Nothobranchius furzeri: one gene and its partner. The protein of the gene in region 2 interacts with the protein of the main gene of each other region in a biochemical or structural test. Links are inferred from orthologs where the notes say so. Each region holds a gene or a part of one and is shown on either strand. Other genes may lie near its edges.

The links. The genes of interacting proteins can lie anywhere in the genome.
Region 1: the proteins of microtubule-associated proteins 1A/1B light chain 3A (region 2) and prohibitin-2 form a complex in vitro, tested with the Homo sapiens proteins (2 studies listed by BioGRID). The link is inferred for Nothobranchius furzeri from reciprocal best matches to the Homo sapiens genes MAP1LC3A and PHB2.

The regions. Positions count from the first base shown.
Region 1 is NC_091751.1:35,032,157-35,039,933, forward strand, and holds the start of prohibitin-2, read right to left. Parts: upstream 4,176-7,777; 5' UTR 4,100-4,175; coding exon 4,079-4,099; intron 4,036-4,078; exon of another isoform or gene 3,957-4,035; intron 3,448-3,956; coding exon 3,318-3,447; intron 2,376-3,317; coding exon 2,291-2,375; intron 778-2,290; coding exon 698-777; intron 1-697.
Region 2 is NC_091743.1:78,249,130-78,257,031, forward strand, and holds the start of microtubule-associated proteins 1A/1B light chain 3A, read right to left. Parts: upstream 4,334-7,902; 5' UTR 4,331-4,333; coding exon 4,165-4,330; intron 2,815-4,164; coding exon 2,759-2,814; intron 233-2,758; coding exon 126-232; intron 1-125. UniProt on the Homo sapiens protein: Ubiquitin-like modifier involved in formation of autophagosomal vacuoles (autophagosomes). While LC3s are involved in elongation of the phagophore membrane, the GABARAP/GATE-16 subfamily is essential for a later stage in autophagosome maturation.

The sequences.
Region 1 (7,777 bases), on a different chromosome or scaffold from region 2:
CTGCTTTGCAAATAATGCAGGTCATCTTTTTATTCGCCGAATCTGGGCTAGAATGCTCCTAAACTTTAGATGTTTTGGTACGCGTAGCTGATGTGTTGGGCGCCACCATTTCTGTTAGTTAGTTGGCGCTCAGTAGAGAAGCTATTGCGCATGTACGACTCTCGGCAGAGATTGTATTGAAGTGAGATGCCTCACTCGGTTCGAAAAAAACATGCCTGGCGACAACGTCGACAATGAAATTCATTGTCAACCATTTCTATTATCAACATTTGTCGACAACGTCGGCAAATCGTTGCAGCCCTAGATGACAGGAACACCTGCTGCTGGGAAAGAGGCAAACACATCAGAACCATTACAGGACCCGGGTCGGTTCTGACCAGTTAATTCCTCAACGTTCTAATCTCTCATCGGCCGCTCTGACAATCAAAAATCAGATTATAGTTTTTATTCCAACAGCAGCAAAGCTTTCACAAATGTTCTCTCTCCCAAAACCAAAATTTCATTTAATCAAAAAAAACAAAAACATTTTATTCTAGTTTGTAAACCAGGTCAGAAACCAGAATGAGAGCGTCTCTATAGCTGAAGCTTTACTAAATAATCAATATTTAGAGCAATAATCTGTTTAACTGACCAGAACCACCCTGATAATAAAAATGATGCTACAGCAAAAGCCGTGTCTCCCACGGCGGGTCCTGACCTTTGCTCCCAGTGAGGGATGAGATCTTTCTGGGTCGGGCTCGGATGTCGTAGATGATGGGGTACTGGAACCAGGGTAGCCTGCAGACGACACCGGTCAGAACTTCTCAGATAGACGTTTAAAAATGATCAGATTTATGTTTTTTCAAAAAAATAAACAAAATTTTTATTTTTTGTTCCTAAATTATTTATCAGCTGATCAGTTGGATCATTAACACATCGAGTGCAAGTTCTGAGTTACTACACACACCTAAAGGACTATCAGGAACACCATACTAATACGGTGTTGGACCCCACTGACCGTCAGAACTGCCTTAATTCTATGTGGCGTTGATCCAACAAGGTGCTGAGAGCATCTTTAGAAATGTTGGCCCGTATTGATTGGATAGCATCTTGCAGTTGATGGAGATGTGTGGGATGCACACCCAGGGCACGAAGCTCCCGTTCCACCACATCCCAAAGAGGCTCAATCAGGTTGAGATCTGGTGACCGTGGAGCTTTATGACATGGTGCATTATCCTGCTGGAAGTAGCCATCAGAGGATGGGTACATGGTGGTCATGAAGGGATGGACATGGTCAGAAATAATGCTCAGGTAGCCCGTGGCATTTAAACCATGCCCAGTTGGCATCAAGGGGCCTAAAGTGAGCAAAGAAAACATCCCCCACACCATGACACCACCACCACCAGCCTGCACAGTGGTAACAAGGCATGATGGATCCATGTTCTCATTCTGCTTACGCCAAATTCTGACTCTACCATTTGAATGTCTCAACAGAAATCGAGACTCATCAGACCAGGCAACATTTTTCCAGTCTTCAACTGTCCACTTTTGGTGAGCTTGTGCAGACTGTAGCCTTTTTCCTATTTGTAGTGGAGATGAGTGGTACCCGGTGGGGTCTTCTGCTGCTGTAGCACATCCGCCTCAACGTTGTGCGTGTTGTGGCTTCACAAATGCTTTGCTGCATTCCTCAGTTGTAACGAGTGGTTATTTCAGTCAAAGTTGCTCTTCTATCAGCTTGAATCAGTCGGCCCATTCTCCTCGGACCTCTAGCATCAACAAGGCATTTTGGCCAACAGGACTGTTGCAGACTGGATGTTTTTCCCTTTTCACACCATTCTTTGTAAACCCTAGAAATGGTTGTGTGTGAAAATCCCAGAAACTGAGCAGATTGTGAAACACTCAGACCGGCCCGTCTGGCAACAACAACCATGCCGTGCTCAAAATAGCTTAAATCACCTTTCTTTCCCATTCTGACCTTCAGTTTTGAGTTCAGGAGATTGTCTTGACCAGGACCACACCCCTAAATGCATTGAAGCAACTGCCTTGTGATTGGTTGATTAGATAATTGCATTAAGGAGAAGTTGAACAGGTGTTCCTAATGATCCTTTAGGTGAGTGCATATCTGTCACTTTATTAACCAATCAGGTTTGACGGACTCCGCTCTTGTTTGATAACATGTAAAAAAAAAAGGTTTAAGAACACAGGTGAAGGAAAGTCACTTATTTGAAGGCATTTAACATTCAAACTGTATCTATGGTTTCTGGAACCAGACACACTAGGAGCTGCTGATGCGGTTGCCAGGATAACCCACCTGAAGTGGAGTCCCTCAGAGAGCACCGTGTTCATCTCCATGCCCCCGATCCGGTTGAAGATGACGGCTCGGTGGCCTCCCTCGACTGCACACGGAGGAAAGGGAAACAACGATTTACACAAGAACTTTGGTTCTAACTGGAGCTCTGGGTCTAAACTGGGCCTAACTGGTTCTAACTGGAGCTCTGGGACTGAACTGGACCTTCCAACTGGTTCTAACTGGACATTCTAACTGGTGCTCCGGGTCTAAACTGGGCCTAACTGGTTCTAACTGGAGCTCCGGGACTGAACTGGACCTTCCACTGGACCTTCTAACTGGTTCTAACTGGTGCTCCGGGTCTAAACTGGACCTTCTAACTGGATCTCCGTGTCTAAACTGTGCCTTCTAACTGGTTCTAACTCTCCCATTTTCCTATCAGGTGACCCCTCCAGGAAAGGCGACCATCGAGCAGGATTGATGGTTTATCCCTTGAGATCCACATAGCAGGGGTGAGGAGTGAGCACCACCTCACCCCTGCTATGTGGACCTCAAAACTCCTGTCATCTGGAAAAATTACGTTCCTCTTTCTCAAACACTTCAGTGGAATTCTGCGTATTTAGAAAGATAAACTCCAGTTACTGCTCAGTAACCAGAGTTCAACCAGGAGCTTTGGTCTTCAGTCCCTGCTGTAGTAGTTGAGAACCACCCTGCAGTCTATCTGCTCCCTAGTTGCTTTTTATATGAATCCAGGCTTTTGGACAACTTTTGATTTTGCATTTGACTCAACAGCAGCTAAAGTTAAAACAAAGAAAGAGGTTTATCTGGAGTAAAGCACCTGACTTGTTAACATGAAGAATGCAGGGAGACATGGTCAAGTAAACAACAACAAGCTGCATTGCTTAATGCTAGTTTCATCGTCCTGAAACTATCAAAAACTAAACTTTAAAGAGAGTCAAACTTTCCTGTAACAAACGTGGCGACTCATATGCACTAGTTGCTTTAATCGGTTTTCCTGTTAGGTTTGGAGGTCCAGGTGTGGGAAGATCACCTGTGTACGTGGCCTCCTTCAATCCATAAGCCAGAGCTCCAGCTCCAAGCAGCAGTTTGAGGCCTGTTCCTGCACCCCGGGGTCCCGAGGACATCCTGCCTGCGATCTGCCGCAGCTGCTGCAGAAAACCCTGAAAATAAAGATGGAGGTTCAGATTCTGACCCAAACAGGCTGCATGGGTGGAGAAGGTTTAAATATAAGACAGAAGTTAACCTGAAAAAACACCCCTGACCTTTGACCTGACTAGGTAAGCTCAAGTCTGTTTACTGGAACATCTTTGTTACACCCGTGAGAACAGGACTAATTCACTTTTCTTATTAGGAACTCAAAATTAGGCGATTTCTTAAAAATGTCTAAGGTACAGCTGACTTACAGGCGTTGCGTCCCGATTATTTAATGATTATCATAATTTATTTTCATGCTGAATTAATGAAGGACTTACGGAACCTCTGAAAAAGTATAAATGAAATAAACAAACCCGCGTGACCCGCTGGAAACACGCGTAAGTGTCTAAATTTACAGCATTTCAGGGCGAAATTTTGACTCCGAATAACACAAGTACAAAAACGGCTCTTTTAGCATATTAGCTTCATTTACACCCGCCGTGCAGCTTCACTATCACCTTCCATCAGGACTCACGTGTCAACGTTACACGCTGCTACCGCTAAGCAGATGGCAAACGGCGGAACCGACGGACCGGTTCTACCGAGCCGACCGTTAAGACGTCACAAACGTCTATTTTAAACAGAAAGCTGACTTACACCGGGCTCTTGGTTCGCCATGCTGTTCTATCCGCAAGTTAGAAAAGCAAATGGGAAGAGCTAGACCAAGGTCACGCTGATGACGTATTTCCGATTGCGCGTGGTACCATGGGAAATGTAGGATTCCTATGTTTTGGCCGTAAAACCCAGTGAACATCAATATTCTGCCGTTTAACAAGAGTTTTACATAAACAAACACAATAATTACAATAAAGGGTTTTACTGATCTTCTGTTCAGGCAGAATGCTTTTTCTTTTTGTTGTTTTACTGAGTCTCTTCTACTTTATTCAATTATAAAGAAATGAGCTGATGCTGATGGTGGCATTACTTCCTACTCTGTTTATCAGCGAGCAGCAGAGGACGTTGTCACCCTCTGCTGCCCGCTCTCATTCGTTTCATTTCATTTACTCATAAAGACCAATGCAGACGCCCAAGGTGCTGAACACAACCAGAGGCGGTTTTACCATTAGGCATAGGTAGGCCCTTGTGTTGGGGGGCCCCCTAGCCCTGACCGCTGGCACCCCTCTGTTAATGCCACAATACTCTTATTACCAACCTGTGGCCGCAGACGGGATTGGACATGCTTCTCATTACCATAAGCCCTGAACCGTTCAATATATCATTAAAATTCCAAAAGTGATGAAAAGATTAAAAATGGGGCTTTTCGTGCATATACAATACATTACGGTAGCCACCGGGATTCCCTGTCTTGAGCGCAACGAATCACAACAAAGATTCAGAGACGTTCTGAGTTTGTCATCCAAAATGCTCCGTTTTACAACTTTTGAATGGCTGATCAGATCCAAAAAATTCCAACGGTTCATAAAAGTACATAAAAGCAGCTTTTCAACGATCTATAGTATGAAGCAATCAGAGTTATGGAAAATATCGCTACGGGGGGAAATCCTTCTGTACAGCCGGATTGAAACGGAGCGTATTATTACTATTTCTGTATAAACATATTCTTTCAATTGTGTGGAGCTGCTGGAGCTGACAGCGGGATGCTCCCCGCCCGCTGGGAGGGCCGCCGTTATTGAGCTCGGGGGTAGCTCAACAGGCACATGGGGGCGTGTTTGGAGAGGGTCTTACTCCAGCGCCGCGGTGACAGCGGATATCGGAACGGGGAAGCTAATTAGCATAAAAGCCAGCATGAAATTGTGGAAATGCCTCAAAGAAAATCAACACGATCTATTAAGTGTCCCAGAAGGCTTATATCTGAAGACAGTGACCATGAAGAAGGACAGATCTCCAGTGAACATATGAACGTTTGTTCAGTCTTTATATTTTATTTTTTTATTTGAACAACCCTCAACTATTTGCTAATTGTAAGATTCAGCTTCATTACAGCATTATTTATCTTTTTACAATAAATAATTATTTTTGCTAAAACAAAAGTTTTTGGTATAGCAGTGCACGGTGTGCCAGAGAAGCACCCCATGGCAGTGTGAGGTGTGAAGGACTCTGCCTGCAGCTGGAGAGAAACTGCTTCAAGGCCTACCACATCAAATAAAAACATCTGAAAGTTTACAAATAAATTGTCTTAAAAACTGCAAAAAAAAAAAAAAAAGATACCAAGGTTCAAATTAAGAATAGATGCAGTTCAAAGTTTAAATTGTTTGCCCAGTAATTTTGAAGTTCCTGTTCAGTAATAACTGTAAAAAAAAATCAAATCCGTTTTTTGCTTTTTTTCACTTTTAAATTGATTTTTTAAAGGCTGTAATAGAAATAAATTATAAATACAAACCATACACTAAAAGCTGAGGTTGTTCTAAAAAAAGGAGAGCATTACACACACTTTGAACTTTTTTATTACAATTTTACAGCCATAAGATTAATAAAATACCAGGCGGCCCTGTTATAATTATGGTCATAAGAGGGTTATTAAGACGGCGATGCACAAACAGGAAGTGATTGGTAGTGATTCCACTCCAATCCAGTTGGTGGCGGTAATGCACCAAATGGTTGTTTGCCACGTGCCATAAGACCACAAATAAGAATAAGAAGAGAGGCGGGAGCATTCGTAACAAACTCAAAGCGATAGTCAAAACATTGAGCATTAAACTGAGTTATCCTAGTGGCTCCAATAAGAGAAAGAAGCAGCTTGCTTCATAAAAGCTTTTATCTTCACTTCTGAAAGTGACGTCGTTTTTTGATGTAAACATCAAAAGGAAGCAGAAAGGAAAGACAATGGAAAATGTTTCAAGGGAGGAAAACATGGACCAAAATGGAAAAAAAAACTAAGGCAAAAGCACAGGAGCACTGACAGAAAAAAGAAAGCAGAGCAAATATTGAAAGCACTCATAGGGTGGGAAATACAGGAAAAAAGAGGAGGACTAATAAAACGGGAAAATAACTCATGTCAGAAGAGGAGTTTTGCAAATCCAGTTAAAGGTAAGATTGTCTAAAATTTAGTGTAAGGGGCCCCATGTCTGTGTTCGCCTTGGGCCCCCAAATTGCTAAATCCGCCCCTGAACACAACACAATCAGGGAAGCCGTAAAGCGGTGAAAGATTAGGAAGATTCTTAGGGCCCACCGCTGTCAGGGGCCCCAAAAAGTTTCAAAGTTGAATAAAAAAAACTGAGTTTAAAAATCACAAGTACTTTACTTTGCAGTATTTTTTCTCATTTAAGACATTAAACAAACAAGCTTTTAGTCTTCATGAAATGTAAATTTATTCAGACGTCCCTACTTTATTTTGACTAATTAATTTGACCCCCCCCCCCCCCCACACACACACACACACACACACCTCCAACGGCATAAAATGGTACAGTCCACGTGGCCGAGGGGCACAAAGCAGGCGAAGCCAGCTCACGCCGCAGTCAGACAGCGGAGTGCGCCAAGGCTGCAGTAAAAATATGTCTGCAAAAACAGTCACAGAAAAGGAAAGAAAGAAAGGAGAAAGAGGACAGGCAAAAGAGAGGGCGTCAGTATGTCACACAGTTTTTCTCAAAGAAAGGTGGGTTTAGTTAGTGAGTGGTTAAATTCAACCTGTTAGCTAGCTCTGATATCCACAGTGAGAGGAACTATGTTTCATCTAATTATGGTAAATGGGTTGTCGTCCTTGCCCCTACCAGAATCAGCAGCTGGTGATATGTCAGCAGGTGTCCCCTCACAACCCAATGAACCTCAAGAAGGTGAGCAATGTAGCATGTTAGCTAGCTGCCTCATTTAAGGGGGTCTGTGGGAATAACTTAAGGCTCTCTTCTCTATCAGTACTATTACAAAGGAATATAAAAAGGCTATTTTTGGTGATAAACAAATTGTTTTTCCACATAATGATAATTATATATATCAATCAGTAAAAAGGTATAGTTTGCTTTGAATGCTGGGCAGGTTGAAGCATTGTTATTTAGTCTGTTAATGTAACATAAATTACTGTGAGATTCTTACTGTGAAGCACCTTTTTGAAGGCACCATACAAGAAAAAAAACCTCTTCATATACTAAACACCTTGAAATGAAATGTTTTGAAACTGACTGAATGATTGGAGGTTTTAAAAGATGTAATTTGTTTAGGTAGCTTTTAGAACACAAACCAAAAATCAATACTTTCCAAATAATTCATCAGAGAGCAAAACTGAAACAAAAGCTGTTGATAATTGTAATAAATAAACTTAATATAACATTGAACACAATAAAATATGAAATCTAGTATCGATGATGGAGAACTACAGCTAATATCCTGCAGGAGTCTGTG
Region 2 (7,902 bases):
GGGAAGTAAAAGTAATCAAAATTGCCCAAATTTATGATGAGAGATAAGAAATATTAGACAATGTTAATGATCCAAGAGAAGCTGAGCCTCCCAACAGGCCACTCGGCAGACAGGTTTCAGTTTACCTGATGATCTTCACCAGCTCGCTCATGTTGACGTGATCCGGTACCAGGAACTTGGTTTTGTCCAAAACTGGCAGCTGTTTCTCACCCTTATACCGCTCGATGATCACCTGCACACATGAAACCACGACGTTTAACAGACTGTGCCTTGCAAGCCTGTTGGAGAGCTCTCAAATATCCTTGACCAAGCAGTGTTATGTTAAATTCACAGCCCCCCCCCCCCCCCCCCCCCCTTCAATCAGGGAAATAAAGTACAGAAAAATAATTTTACTTGCTGATAAAAAAGAAGCAGAAACTGCTTGGATGACCTGTTAGTGCCGTCAGCAACCGCAGCTTGCCCTCTGTGTCCAAATAATCCAGGGGACTGCCTTAGACTGGTTTAGGTCCTACTTCTGTGACCGCACCTTTAATGTTATGATGGGTAGTGCTGCCTCCCCCTCTGCGGCTTTGACTTGTGGTGTTCCCCAGGGCTCTATTCTTGGACCCCTTTTATTTAATTTATATATTTTGCCCCTGGGTGACATTTTTAAAAAACACCACATTGATTACCATTTTTATGCAGACGATTGCCAATTATATGCCTCTGTGAAGCCTAATGACTCCTTACTGCCCCTTGTTGAATGCTGTAATGATGTGAAGAGCTGGCTGTCAGAAAACTTTCTTTTGCTGAACGACGCTAAGACAGAGGCCATCATTTTCAGCCCTGGTACTTCTCAAAGTCCCCAACTGACCCTTCCATTTATCACAAGTGGGTTGAAAAACCGTGTCACAAACTTAGGGGTTGTGATGAACGCTAAACTAAAAATGGACATTCATGTCAACCAGGTAGTTAAGATCTGTTATTACCACCTGAGGCGTCTCTCTAAAGTTAAGCCCATTTTAAAAAGGCGTCATCTTCATTCAGTTGTCCATGCATTTATTACTTCCCGTCTCGACTACTCTAACTCAGTGCTATACGGTATCTCCTCCTCCACTCTCGCTCAACTTCAGCTTGTGCAGAACGCAGCAGCTCGTTTCTTGACTGGCACCAGGCAGCGGGAACACATCACACCGGTTTTAGCAAATCTTCATTGGCTCCCCATCCATCTCCGGATAGAGTTTAAGATCCTGGTTTTTGTGTTTAAATCCCTAAATAACTTAGCACCTGGCTACTTGTCTGAGCTCATTCACCCATATGTCCCTACAAGATCTCTCCGATCAGCTGACCAACACCTCCTACATGTCCCTAGCTCTCGCTGTAAGTCCCGCGGGGAGCGCGCCTTTTCAGTTTGTGCACCGAAGCTCTGGAACCACTTGCCCCTCCCGATCAGACTCTCTTCCTCTCTTTCCCTTTTTAAGTCTCGTTTAAAAACTCACTTTTATTCTCTGGCTTTTAATTCTGTCTAACTTATTCCCTTTCTACCTTTCCTTTTAGGGTTGGATTACTTGATTTTAATGGATTTAGTTTTTATTTTTGATTGTTTTTATTGTGTGTTTTGTTCAGCACTTTGGTCGGCTCTCATGCCGTGTTTAAATGTGCTATATAAATAAAATTGGTATGGTATGGTATGGTAAATAATCCGATGATTAAATGGTAAATAGCCTGTATCTGTATAGTGCCTTAGGGTTCTACAACCCCCCAAGGCGCTTCACAACACAGTCATTCACCCATTCATACGCTGGTGGTGATGAACTACATCGTAGCTAAAGCTGCCCTGGGGCGCACTGACAGAGGCGAGGCTGCTGAACACAGGCGCCACCGGTCCCTCCGACCACCTCCAGCAAGGCGAGTTAAGTGTGTTGCCCAAGGACACAATGACAGAATTCTCTGGTCTGAGCCGGGATTGAACCTGCAACCTTCCGATTACTGGACAACCCACTCTACCTCCTGAGCTGCTGCTGTCCCTTACATCCAAGCACAAACCCACAGAGGACACAGCTAAAGTTCAGAGTCAAAATGGCCGAACGTCCATTAACATGAGGCCTTTCCTAGAGCTAGCTTGTAGCTCTGGTGCTCAATAATTATTCATAATTTCAAGCATTTAATTACAGTCAAAGAGTTATAAAATAACTCACCCCCTCAGAGTTGTCATAAATGTTAGAAAGATCAGTCAAACCTAGAATGGCTTTTTGAACCAGGCTGTAAATGTGTTTATTTATGCTGTGAAACTGGCTTTTTTAACATGGGAGTCAAAGGGAACTTGCTCTGTTTTGGTACTAGCCCCTAGCGGATGAGGGTGGAACTGTAATTTTTGGTACTTCCATGCTGGAGCAAAGCCAGCGGCCTTGATCCCTTGGTACCGACGCACACTCAGAAGCATAAGCTCGGCTTAAATAGCGCCAGATACATGGCTATAACCAAGCAGCTGGCGGTCTCTGTTTTAGTTCAGATAGTCCTCGTGGGCATGAATGTTCCGTCTAAGAGAAGAGCAAAACACTTTGCTTCCCTTCTCAGTTATCCAGCATCAATTAACAGAGGCTGCCTGTGAGGTTCACTTGAATTAAAGAGAACTGAATCCACCTGAGCATAGTCGGTGGAACCGACAGATCCTTGAGTGCACAGATGCACTTTGTTAGGCAGGCATTTATCAGGAAGGCATCGATGTTCTAAACTCGCTTTGTGGACTACCCCCCAGGTTCGTGCGTGTGCAGCTTACAGGGATCTTGTTTGGGTGCTGCTCTCGGATCTGCTGGACCTCTTTGCATCGATCAGCTGTCGACAAAACAAATAGACAGCATGATGAGATTAGGAAGTTTACAGCAACAAGAGAAGATGTGTTTTGGATTGGTGGCCATATTGCAGCCATTTTGGATGGTAGGCTTTCGACTCCGTGTGTCACTGCAGATGGCTGCTTATGCTGATCCAGGATCCTCTGGAGGTTTCTTCCTGTGAAGTCTCTGACACAAGTCAGTGACTCGATGCAACCTGCTGGGTTACTTATATAGGAAACTTTTTACTGATTGCATTAATGAACTGAACTATTGGAATGTTTACTTTGAGAAGCGCCTTAAGAGGACTTGTCGGGATTTGGCGCTTTATAAATAAACGGAATTATAGATAGGGTGAGAAGCTCAGTCATCCGGGAGGAGCTCGGACTAGACCCGCCTCTCCTCCACATCGAGAGGAGCCGGTTGAAGTGGCCCGGGCTTCTAGTTGGGGTGCCTCCTGGACGCCTCCCTGGTGAGGTTATCCAGGCACATCCAACTGGGAGAAGACCTAAAGGAAGACCCAGGACACACTGAGGGGACTATGTTTCTCAGCTGGCCAGGGAACGCCTTGGGATTCCCCGGAGAAGCTGGCCCAAGTGGCTGGGGAGAGGGAAGTCTGGGCTCCCTGCTTAGGCTGCTGCCCCCCATGACCAGATTCCAGATAAACGGAAGAGGATGGATGAAACTCATTTCTAAATGAAACCATCATAACCACGTTCTGGACCTTAGCATGGGTGTCAAACTCTGGTCCTCAAGGCCCACTATCCCACATGTTTTAGTGTTTTCCCAGTTTCAACACACCTGATTTCAAGCTTGGGCCTCCCTGCTTAGACTACTGCCTCGCGACCTGATCCCGCGATATATTTGCATCAACCAAAATAATCGTGGTTATCATTTTCGCCATTGGCCGGATGGGTCTCTTCCTGATGACATCATCCTGTGGTTCCAGTCAGAGATGTTAGGGTGTTCCAGGTGAAACTCCAGTTTTAGAGCTTTCTATCAACCCGTTCCAGGTGTTCATCTACATAGTTCTCACCTTGCTTTGATATTCATGTTTCTGACACTGACAGCTGGTCCGTTCAGGTGAGCGGGTCACTGCCAGACTCCTCCCCTCCTGTCAGGTGACCGATTTAATCAGAGAATACGTGTAGGGGTCATGTTTCAGCACAACTTGTTGTTTTGGCCTCGCGGTGGGTCACGGAGCTGATCCGGTTGTGTAAAGGCTGCGGCGTCACATTGACCCCGTTTACCGTGAAGCTACAGACCGACCATCAACACATGTAAACACGTTAAATCCGGTGTGAACCTACGCATTGAAACGCACTAACGCTAGCTGTAGACAGCACCGTCTTACCGAACGTTCTCCGCTGCTTGAACGGTCGGTCCGACGGCATCCCGGCAGCGGCTTCAGGCGAAAGAAGGTGATGAAAACGGCCCTGGGAGGGTTTCAGATGGCTCGGTCTGAAGCTCCGCAGCAGCTCCGTACAAACAAAGCCAGTAATCTGACGCGCTGACGTCATCCGCTGCCTTATGGAGGTGAGTGAGGCAAGCCAAGTTGTCATTTAATATTCAGAAAAGTTATTCAGTTCCTGTCAGTAAAATTGAGGCCGTCTCTGGATCAGATCTCTGATTTTTATCTGATTTGGTGCTAAATACTGATAAGGTCATGGTAGTGGGGGATTTTAACATTCATGTGGACATTGAAAATGATAGCCTCAGTGTAGCCTTTAGTAATATACTGGTTTTACCCAAAGAATGCATAGCTCCACCCACTCCTGGCATCATACATTAAACCTTGTGCTGATTTATGGCATAGAGTGTGAGGAAAATAACGATATTTCCACATAATCCAGTCCTCTCGGACCACTTTTTGATCACCTTTGAGTTTTTTTATAACTGAGTTCTAGAGACATGAAAGTAAATTTCACTATAGTCTGTCTTTATCTGACAAGGCTGTTGCATCTTTTAAATCAATTATTCCATCTTTACTGTCCTCAGCATCTCAGAGGACTGTAGCAGAGGGCAATATTTTCATTTCTAGCCCCTCACAAATTGATGATTTAGTTCATAATGTTACTTCTTTACGTGTGGCATTAGATGATGTTGCCCCTTTAAAAAAGGTAATTAAGCACAGGAAGTTGGCTCCCTGGTTTAATTCTGATTTACAAACTTTAAAACAAAACTCTAGAAAATTGGAAAGAACATGGCGCTCTACAATTCAATTCAAGTTTATTTATAAAGCATCAAATCAGGACCAGAGTCGTCTCAAGGACCTTCACACAGTAAACATTCCAATACAGGTCAGGTCATTAAGCCAATCAGTAAAAAGTTTCCTATTTAAGGAACCCAGCAGGTTGCATCGAGTCACCTCATACTAAGAATGCAGCGACAGTGCAGAGAAAAACTCCCTTTTAACAGGAATTTTGTGTTTCTTAGTAAACATTCTATTTGGTGAGATAAACTTTATTGTATTTATCCTAGTGAATCTATAATTAATCTGGTAAACTAGGAGTAGCACATTCAATGTCAAAGAGAGTAAAATGTTATTGTCAGGAGAGGGAGAAGTGGTTAGCAGCAGTGTGCTAGCCAATGGCCCCCTCCATGAGGCCACTACAGCTCAGCAGAACATCATTGTAGCTTCTTCTGGGGAGGAAAACACTTAAGAGTAAAAATAAAGTTAACAGCTGAAATAGCAGGAAATAATGCAGTTAAAGAGCAGATTGTAGAAGAAAGTAGTAGAGTGTGGAAAGTGGTCAGTATGTCCTCCAGCATTCTAAGCCTATAGCAGCATATCTACAGAGATAACTCTGGATAACCTAGCCTAGTCTTAAAAGTAGAGACGGTGTCTGCCTCACGGACTAAAGCTGGGAGCTGGTTCCACAAGAGAGGAGCCTGATAGCTAAAATATCTGCCTCCCATCCTATTTTTAGATATTCTGGGAACCACCAGTAAACCTGCACTCTGAGAGCAAAGTACTCGGTTAGGAACGTATGGAACAATCAGATCACTAATGTATGATGGAGCTTTATTATTAAGAGCTTTATGTGTGAGAAGGAGGATCTTAAAGGCTATTCTGAATTTAACAGATAGCCAATGTAGGAAAGCTAGGACAGGAGAGATATGATCTCTCTTTTTAATTCTCATCAGAACTCTAGCTGCAGCATTTTGGACAAGCTGAAGATTTTTAACTACATTCTGTGGACTTCCCGAGAGTTATGAATTACAGTAATCCAGTCTTGATGTAATAAATGCATGAACTAGTTTTTCAGTATCACTACTGGAAAGGATGCTTCTAATCTTAGCAATATTCCGAAGGTGGAAAACGGAAATCCTACAAACCTGTTTAACGTGGGATTTGAATGACATGTCCTGGTCGAAGATAACACCAAGGTACCTTACTTTGTTCTCGGAGACTATTTTAATGCCGTTCAGGTCAGGTGATTGATTAAGCAGTTTCCTTTTCTGAATTTCGGGTCCAAAGATTAGAACTTCTATCTTGTCTTGATTTAAAAGCAGAAAGTTTTGAGTCATCCAACTTTTTATGCCATCAAGACAAGCCTGTAATCTAACTAACTGATTAGGTTCATCAGGGTTAATGGATAGATATAACTGAGTAACGTCAGCATAACAGTGGAAGTTTATCACATGCTCTCTGTGTGTGTCCACAGCAGGTGACATGGTGGTGGGTGGTGTTGTCACTGGCCTGTGGTTAGCCCTGCCCCACTGGTAAACCTCGGAGGTTTTTACCAGGGCATTAAAGTCAGTCCTAAACTGATTTAGGTCATTTTTAATGGGTATTATTCCAATTTCTGTTGTAATAAATGGTTTTAACAATCTGAAGCCACAACTACTTGGGCAAAAACGAACCCAAGTGCCTTACAGTCATTTCAAACTAAGTCCTTGGGTGAAATTCCCAAGGTGGCGTTGCTGGTTTTGGATAAAACGTCAGTCGATTTTTATGCCACACATACATTTGCAGTGGTCTCTAGAAGCTTCAGATGGCAGCATCTGGAGTCTTTTCCTGATATGTGGACATCTCTCCTCTGATTGGCTAACAGCAACACAACTCTACCACTGACTCTGTTTACTATGCAATGTTGATCTCTACAAATAACACAAGCCTGGAGAGTTCTGCTGTGTGGTGGAGTTGCTAATGCTAACAGTTAGCTTCTACTAGCCGAGACGTTCTCTACTGTTTCCTGAAGCGCCTTGTGATTTTTACCTTGAGAGGCGCTATAGAAAAGATCTTTTCTTCTTCTTCTGGACACTAAACCTACAACAGCCTTCCCTGTCGTGAGCCAAAATGAATATTAAGGGCTGTGATTTCCTTGTTGTCTGAGCTTGCGTTGGTGCAGGCACAAGGCTGCGTCTTTGTTCACATGCTGCACAGCACTAGTACTGGGGTGTTACCATAAGGGGCGCACTAGACTACTGAGACCGAACAGAGAAACAGGTCTGTGGGAACAACCAAAACAAACATGGCATCAATTTAAGAGACCAGAAACTGGTTCGTTTTCAGTTCACGACAGAAAAAGCGACAGCAGCGGTAAAGAGGTTGGTTTGAAAGTCCTCTAAACCAGAGACGGGGTCACCATGGTGAGTTTGTCTCGCTCGTTTTGTCAACTCCACCTACTGGTTACTCGTATATTGCAGCATTCGGATGCGTCGCTGTAATTTCGAGGAACGCTCACAAATGATGCTCCAAATCAATGCAAGTAACGCATGGCAGCCATTTTAAAATGTGTATGCAATGTCAAACAGCAAGTATATCACGGCCCTAAGGGACAGTGTGACATAGATCTGTCAGGATTTTTAAATCCTGGAGTTTCACTGTCTGTTTTCTATCAGAAGCTACGGCAGGAGGTAGGTGTAGGAGACTATGCTCATGTTCAGCCTGCATGAGACACTCGACACGTTAGAATCAGAGATAATCATTAAAACAGGGCTTTCAGTGAACCACACCTTTAAAATTAGATTAACACTTATTGGTTCATTAATTGACATTCAACAGAACATGAAGTCATTTAAAGACGTACTTATGAACATAGTGTGTTTGTTCTCTTTCAGACAGGATGAGGTTCTCAGTCTGTAA